Linked DNA regions of Saccharomyces cerevisiae S288C. The gene in region 1 interacts genetically with each later gene. Each region holds a gene or a part of one and is shown in the gene's direction. Other genes may lie near its edges.

Region 1 (3,619 bases):
CATCTACCAGTGTCTTATGCAAAATCAGCCTTCTTCTTTCTTCATCAAAATCTTTCAGGTGCGCTACGACACTCAGCAGATCGGTAGTATTCTTTACGTTCGATCTATCAACCAGCAGAGGGTTTTTAGCAATCAGTTCCTTGATTCTTCCTTGAATATATTCGTTGGCATCCATAATATGCTGATGTTTCAAATCAATCCAGTCAGGATCATACAAATCTACCAATTTTGAAACCTTTTCCTCTTGCTCACCAGCTTCATTCTCGGCAGAATAATGATATATATCTTTTTGTGTGTCCACATTAGCTACCAGGTCATAAGCCATTGCTTGATAGCTAAAATCATGTAATATTGGCGCAAAAGGGTCCAGTGTTCTATCGGTGATTATTAGAATGGAACGCGGTCTTTCAGTGTTTTGAGGAGGGAAATCTGGATTATTGCGAGCGTATGTATCTATCGCTATTTGGAAAGCGTTTGCAATAGACCTTGTTAAAGAATTTGCGTTGACTACGGCGTTTCCATTGCGGGCATCTTCCTCTTCCACAGGATTAGATACAGAATATCTAACAATCGGATATTCCCCCGTAATAACACACAAACTAACTAGTGAGCCTACAATCTTCCTCACGTTAGTAGGAATCAAAGCCTTACAGTTGTTGTTGAAAAAAACCTGTAATGAGTGTTCCATTTGTAAAGTTTCGAAGAATTGAGATTCTTTGACGAAAAACCCTAGTTCGATCGGCTTAAATGACTCCAAATTTTGAGCAATGTAACGTTTTGATTGAAAAAACTGAAATATAGGGTTTGTTAATCCTGGTAAAAATCTGATGTGACATCTTCTGTACTTAGGTGGTCTTACCATGAAGTCAGCATCGATACAATTGATGTTATATTTCGTTGGTTCCAATATGTAAATTGCCTCGATGGAGGATTGTCCTTTTCTTGTTGGGGAATCAATCAAATCAACAGATGTGACATTATTTAAAAGTTCTTGGGGTGTGAGGAAAAGATAACTCAATATTGTCTCCACAGTTTTATCGATAATAAGAAACTTCAAGTTATTTTTCGTCTCAATCTGATTCAAAACCCCTATCAAATAGTTCCTCTGTAATTCAATTAAATCAGACATCGTTCCGCCAAACCAAGCATGTGCACACTCTTCTACTTTGTCAGTGGATTCTAATTATTTTCAAGGTCTTACAAAGCAATGTCTTACTAGTTTCAATAGGGACTTAAACTGATCGTTTAAGCAAAAGAAAAACACCGTGCTGTGTGACCATCTACCAATAATTGCGAGAACATAAGACGACGCCGCCATTCACCTCTCTATCACTTACACCATGTTATAGGGATAAGTGTGTAGTCGATCGGCTATTCGATGATTTTTAAAGAGTGCCTGTAATAATAGCTGTATCGCAAGTAAGGAATACAAGATTACTGATATTTTGATCCAGGAGGATGGACATGTTAGATAGAAAAACTAAGAGGGCTACTACATCCGGTTTAGTATTCTGTTATTGGGAATGCTTTTCCCAAGACGCAAGCAAGAGGTGACACATAAACATAGTTTTCTTATTGTATCGTTACATATTCTTATTTTACGCTGCTGTCATTAAATATGGCACTTATCTCAGATACATTTCTTTTAATCAGCGAAAAAAATGGCGAGGTGAAAAAAATCGATGAGATGAAAAAATTTTTTACTAGTAAAGGCGTATTGATGATATATTAGCAGCTAAAGTATAGCAAGGTTTGTCAATTTGAAGCAGTCCGCGTGTTTTACAATGAGCGTCATTCATCCTTTGCAGAATTTACTCACCTCTCGTGATGGCTCATTAGTTTTCGCCATCATTAAGAATTGTATCTTAAGCTTCAAATATCAATCGCCAAATCATTGGGAATTTGCTGGAAAATGGTCTGATGATTTCGACAAAATTCAAGAATCGAGAAACACCACTGCTAAGGAGCAACAAGGACAATCCAGCGAAAACGAAAACGAGAACAAAAAATTGAAAAGTAATAAAGGCGATTCCATTAAAAGGACAGCAGCCAAGGTACCATCTCCAGGTCTTGGCGCCCCACCGATATATTCGTACATAAGAAATCTGAGATTAACTTCGGATGAATCAAGACTAATTGCGTGCGCAGATTCTGACAAGTCCCTCCTAGTTTTCGATGTCGACAAAACTTCCAAAAATGTCTTAAAGTTGAGAAAAAGGTTCTGCTTCTCAAAGAGACCGAATGCTATTTCTATAGCCGAAGATGATACTACAGTCATAATAGCTGACAAATTTGGTGATGTATATTCTATTGATATTAATTCTATCCCGGAAGAAAAGTTTACTCAAGAACCTATTCTCGGTCATGTCTCTATGTTGACTGATGTACACTTGATTAAAGACTCTGACGGTCATCAATTCATAATTACAAGTGATAGAGATGAGCATATTAAAATTTCGCATTATCCCCAATGTTTCATTGTGGACAAATGGCTCTTTGGTCATAAGCATTTTGTTTCTTCCATATGCTGTGGCAAAGACTATTTATTATTAAGTGCAGGTGGTGACGATAAAATCTTCGCTTGGGATTGGAAAACTGGTAAGAACTTGTCTACCTTCGATTATAATAGTTTGATTAAACCTTATTTGAATGATCAGCATTTAGCACCACCAAGATTTCAAAATGAAAATAATGATATTATTGAATTTGCAGTTAGTAAAATTATAAAGTCAAAGAACCTACCGTTTGTTGCGTTTTTCGTCGAAGCTACAAAATGCATAATAATTCTGGAAATGTCCGAAAAACAAAAAGGGGATCTTGCACTAAAGCAAATTATAACTTTTCCATATAATGTTATCTCATTATCCGCCCATAATGATGAATTCCAAGTCACCCTAGATAATAAGGAATCATCTGGTGTGCAAAAAAATTTTGCCAAATTCATTGAATATAACTTAAATGAGAATAGTTTTGTCGTGAATAATGAAAAATCAAACGAATTTGACAGTGCCATCATACAATCAGTACAAGGGGATTCTAACTTGGTGACCAAGAAAGAAGAAATTTACCCGTTATACAATGTTTCCTCGTTAAGAAAACATGGAGAACATTACTCGTGAAATAAAAAGGTAGTAAGTACATCTTTATAACTAATATAAAAAAAGATACGTACCGATTTGTGTTAATAATCATTGTTAGTACATCTTTATACCTCTGTTTCTAGCTGAAGGCGGCGAATTGAATAGCAGTTCTTTTTAAATTGGCAGATACAATAGGATTAATCTCATTGATACATTTTTGTAGTCTATTTGTGTCGTTCTGGAAACAGTTTTGTAAGCACGCCCTTAATGTGGCCTCGGTGTCCTTTTCAAGTAAAGGACCCATAACCTTCTGAAAGAATTCCAAATCCACTATAATTTGTAATGAGCCATCATTAGAAAGATTACCAACATAAGGCTTAAATGCCTCAAAGAGGTATCTGGCTATAAAAATCTGCGTTTCAATTAAAATCTTATGGATGAGCTGAGGCCCAATTCTAAAGCACTCACTGTGAACCACGATCAGAATCATTAACGCTTCTATAATATAGTCACCAACCCTGAATGAATTTGATGTATAC
Region 2 (4,351 bases), on another chromosome or scaffold:
GCAGAGTTCATCGGTATTTGTGACATATTGGTAGTGTTAGGAGACGTGGATATATGAGCTTCTTCGTAATGTCTCAGCAAATCATGCAAACCTGGTAAGGAAAGACCACAGCATGAATAATCTTTACAATATTGCTTTTCTAGATTTGGCAGATAAGCAGTGTAGGCTATCTGAGGAGAAATAGAATACCCTCTATGGTAAGGCGGATTACTAACAGAGGGTCTCTTAGTTGGTTGTTGAATCTGCAAAGTATTAGTGGCAGTAGTGGTTGCAGAAGCGGCAGCGGAGGCAGCACCGTTTGCTGATGCAGGTACAATACTATTTCTACGGCTAATAATTTCATCTCTTAACCAAGAACCAACACTAATGGATCCCCATGAAACACCACCCATCCCTTGAGAATGGGCTATTGATTCTCTCCGTAACTTGGCAATGTCCTGTGGAGTTAGTAGCGTTTGGTCCATTATATTTGGAGAGTACAAATGAACATTATTTGTATTATTCATGATATTTTTTTGGTGAATATTATTGACGCCGTTAAAATCTGTGTTTTTTCCATTAGAAGAATCCGAATTGTTATTTATCAAAATGGAAGGAGTATTCTGGTTCGAATCAATATCAATATTAAAGTTTGATGACGAATTTATAGATGCATGTGCCGATGTAGCCGTCGTAGTAGTACTAGTAGCCATATTGCTTGCCATAGTCATTGTTGTAAAATCCATACTCAGATAAGCTTTTCCTGTTTCGAAGAAAAATAAAAATACTGAATATGAATATGTCTTTTAATAACAATAAATTTGAAAACGCCTTACAAGTGAAATCTTGAGGTGATTAATAGTAGGTGAATCCAGAGAAAGTGTTTCGAGGATATAATATGGTATCAGAAAGCCAAAAGACGACCGGTATATTATAAACTTAGTATGAATGTATCGTGGCGCTTTTTTCTCCTAGCTTTATTCTTCTTGCTTTCTCGCTCTAAATATGATATTGCGATAAAAGGAAGTAGTTTAACTCACCGTAAAATCGATCAATATTAGAAAAACAGAAAACCACCAGAGAGAAGCACCGATATGTAATTGAAGTAGAAAAAAAATCTAGCTTTCCTTCTCTTTATAAGCGAACTTAATGATTAGATTGACTAGCGCTATCCTTCTTTGATTGTAATATTTGTCAAACCTTGTTAACGGAGCCACTAGAATGTACAAGACGTTATATAGGGATGACAGGTAGAAAAGAGATAGGGCCTGGGAGGTAAAATGCGTACGTTAGCCTAGAGAGCTTTAAATCGGTGACGATGCGAAAGCAAATGATAATGGCAATAGCGGTGGCAGGCGACAGTGGCAAGTGACAATGGCTGATAGTGACGTTATTTGATACAAAATCGCCTTTTAACGAATGCATCGCCCATTTGTTCCAAATTTCAATTGATTCGAAATTGCTCCTTATTATGTAACTGACAAAATCCTGTCCCCTTGCACGACGTAGGCGCGTTTTGTTTCTTTTTCCTACCGCAGACCACCTTGCGCACGGGAACGCCGCACTGTTTGGCACCCAGTCACCGCCCGTACCGTCGTTCCACAGAACATGCCGCAGAAACCTGTCGGGTAATAGTACACGGGATGAAGAGACTTAATGCCGACAAGCCGGGTAGGGGAATTGTAGCTCCGAAAAGCGACGGAAAGTTCAATATACAGAAAGCCCGTGCACCATTTTTGAAAAGTTTCATAAGATCTAGTTAAAGTTATGAAGAATTTAGTTCGAATGTGTAGTGATGAGATGAGCAGTAATGAAACATTAATGAACTCAGAATAGGAAAAAAAGGCAACTTCTAAACATTATTGATGGAGCAAAACGCTGAAAAACGCTCTATTGTTGGCGACGACAACTCAACCGTGAAGAGACAAGACACTTCCCCGTCCAAAGGTATTGCACATATCAAACCAGAATATATTGTACCATTGAAGCAGAATGAAAACCAGAAGGTCGCCATCTATGATGAAGAGATGTCTTCCGACAGAATGACAAACGAGTTTGCAGGTGGGACTAATAAGAAAAATAAGAACGGAAGAGGTAAGAAGCGTGGGCAAAACAAGAATAGAGATAACAGGCAGGTCAAGGAACAGAATGTCTTGTGCCCACGCTTGATCCATGGCGATATATCTAAATGCTCCTTTGGTGATAACTGTAGGTTTGTTCACGATATCAATCTGTACCTTTCAACAAAAAAGCCTGAAGTTGAAAGTAATATATTTCCTTCCTGTCCGGTCTTCAACTCGTTGGGATTTTGCCCCATGGGATTCAAATGCAGATTTTTATCGTCTCATCTGAATAAAGAAGATAATATCCTAATATCGAAGAAGGAGATTGATCCAGATGCGCAAACAATATGGTCCGTTAAAGGTGAGGTAAACCATATCTCACCGGAAAGAAAACTCGATCTTATAAAAAGAAGATTTCCTTTCACAAAAAGTAATGAAATATTGGAAATCATCGACTCTTTCCAACAAGAATGTAGAGATTCCATGAAGCCAGAAGAAGAAGTTGAGTCAACGCCACAGCTGAAGAAACAAGACCCAGATGTGGAACAACCAGTTGCCCCCCAAGTCGAACAGAGGAACAAAGAATTGTCAGAACATAGAATGAAACAGCGTGAAGTATACTTGAAGTACAAGGACACTCGTTATTTTGCTCAAGAAAAAAAGCCACTGGATTTGTACCACAAAAAAATCGTGTCGCCATTGACAACCGTAGGCAATTTACCATACCGTCGTCTAATGAGAAAGTTAGGTGCAGATGTGACATATTCGGAAATGGCCTTGGCAGTTCCCTTAATTCAAGGAACTAATTCTGAGTGGGCGTTACCTAAAGCTCACACATCAGAGTTCCCCGGGTTCGGGGTTCAAGTGGCCTGTTCTAAAGCCTGGCAGGCGGCAAAGGCTGCAGAAGCACTCGCAAACTCCGTCAGTGAAATAAGTGAAATCAACTTAAACTCTGGCTGCCCCATCGATTTGCTATACAGACAAGGTTCTGGTAGCGCCCTGCTGGATAACCCTGCAAGAATGATTCGTTGTTTAAACGCGATGAACTACGTATCGAAAGATATTCCTATCACGGTGAAGATCAGAACAGGTACAAAGGAAGGTCATCCTATCGCGGAAGGGTTAGTCAAAAGACTGGTTAACGAAACTGATGTGGCTGCGATTACCTTACACGGTAGGTCTAGGCAACAAAGGTACACTAAGTCTGCGGATTGGGACTACGTGAGTCAAGTGGCTGACACCTTGAGATCCGCCGAAGCGGATTTCATCGAAACCGAACAAGGCAAAGAAGGCAGGGATTCCAAGAACAGAATTCAATTTGTCGGAAATGGTGATGTCAACAATTTTGAAGACTGGTACCGCTATTTGAACGGAAATGAAAATATTGATAGTGTTATGGTTGCTCGAGGGGCCCTGATCAAACCATGGATTTTTGAAGAGGTTGAGTCGCAGCAGTATCTAGACAAGACAAGTACGGAAAGATTAGACATTTTAAGGGATTATGCGCAGTTCTCTATGGAACACTGGGGCACCGACGAATACGGCATTTCTCAATGTCGTAGATTCTTCTGCGAGTTCATGTCCTTTTTTCATAGGTATGTCCCCATGGGTATTTGTGAAAGATACCCTGTGAAGTTGAATGAGAGACCGCCAAACTGGTGTGGAAGAGACGAACTTGAAACTCTAATGGGTAGTACGGATGTTAATGATTGGATCAAGCTAAGTGATCTATTTTTCGGTAAAACCGACGAGAACTTTGTATTTGTCCCCAAACATAAGAGCAGCTCTTATGCAAACAGAGATTCCTAAATAGAAAATCAAGTGTACATGTATCATAAATCATATCTGATGGGTAAGCGCGGTTATTTTTCCTTTGCAAGACGAGAATTGGAATATGTACGGGTGTCAATTTCAAACGTGAGGTATGGGTTCCAAGAAAATCAAAATAAGCACAGCTGGGAAGGGTTAGGTAGGAGCGGAGAAAAGTGTATTGAGAAAATCTTAACGAGTTCGGACAGGTTATCATCGCAACACAAATGAACATAACTATCAACCTGATGCAACTGTACCTGAGTGGCTCAAATAGCAGGTAAATACAGGTGGATTTAGAAAACGCGCAGTGATTTGAATCTCGCAAGTCGCCTCTGAAAAAAGGCATTTCGCAAACTGGGGTGTCTGGAAAGTTCATTACATCCCGTTCACATAGCTCCTTCCTGGTACTTGAGTAAGTCTTTTAAAACAATTCAACATCTACTTTGTATCAGGCGCTTGGATTTACACTTTTGGCATATTTATTCCTACGCTGCAGT

The links. A genetic interaction does not mean that the proteins touch.
Region 2: mutations in TRM82 (region 1) and DUS3 are lethal when combined (synthetic lethality), as found in Saccharomyces cerevisiae (one study listed by BioGRID).

The regions. Positions count from the first base shown.
Region 1 is NC_001136.10:783,087-786,705, forward strand, and holds TRM82 (Trm82p), read left to right. Parts: upstream 1-1,784; coding exon 1,785-3,119; downstream 3,120-3,619. Other genes in the region: SEC1 (Sec1p), read right to left, coding at 1-1,129; exocyst subunit SEC5, read right to left, coding at 3,220-3,619. UniProt on the Saccharomyces cerevisiae protein: Required for the formation of N(7)-methylguanine at position 46 (m7G46) in tRNA, a modification required to maintain stability of tRNAs; its absence resulting in tRNA decay.
Region 2 is NC_001144.5:921,942-926,292, reverse strand, and holds DUS3 (tRNA dihydrouridine synthase DUS3), read left to right. Parts: upstream 1-1,844; coding exon 1,845-3,851; downstream 3,852-4,351. Other genes in the region: zinc-coordinating transcription factor SFP1, read right to left, coding at 1-725.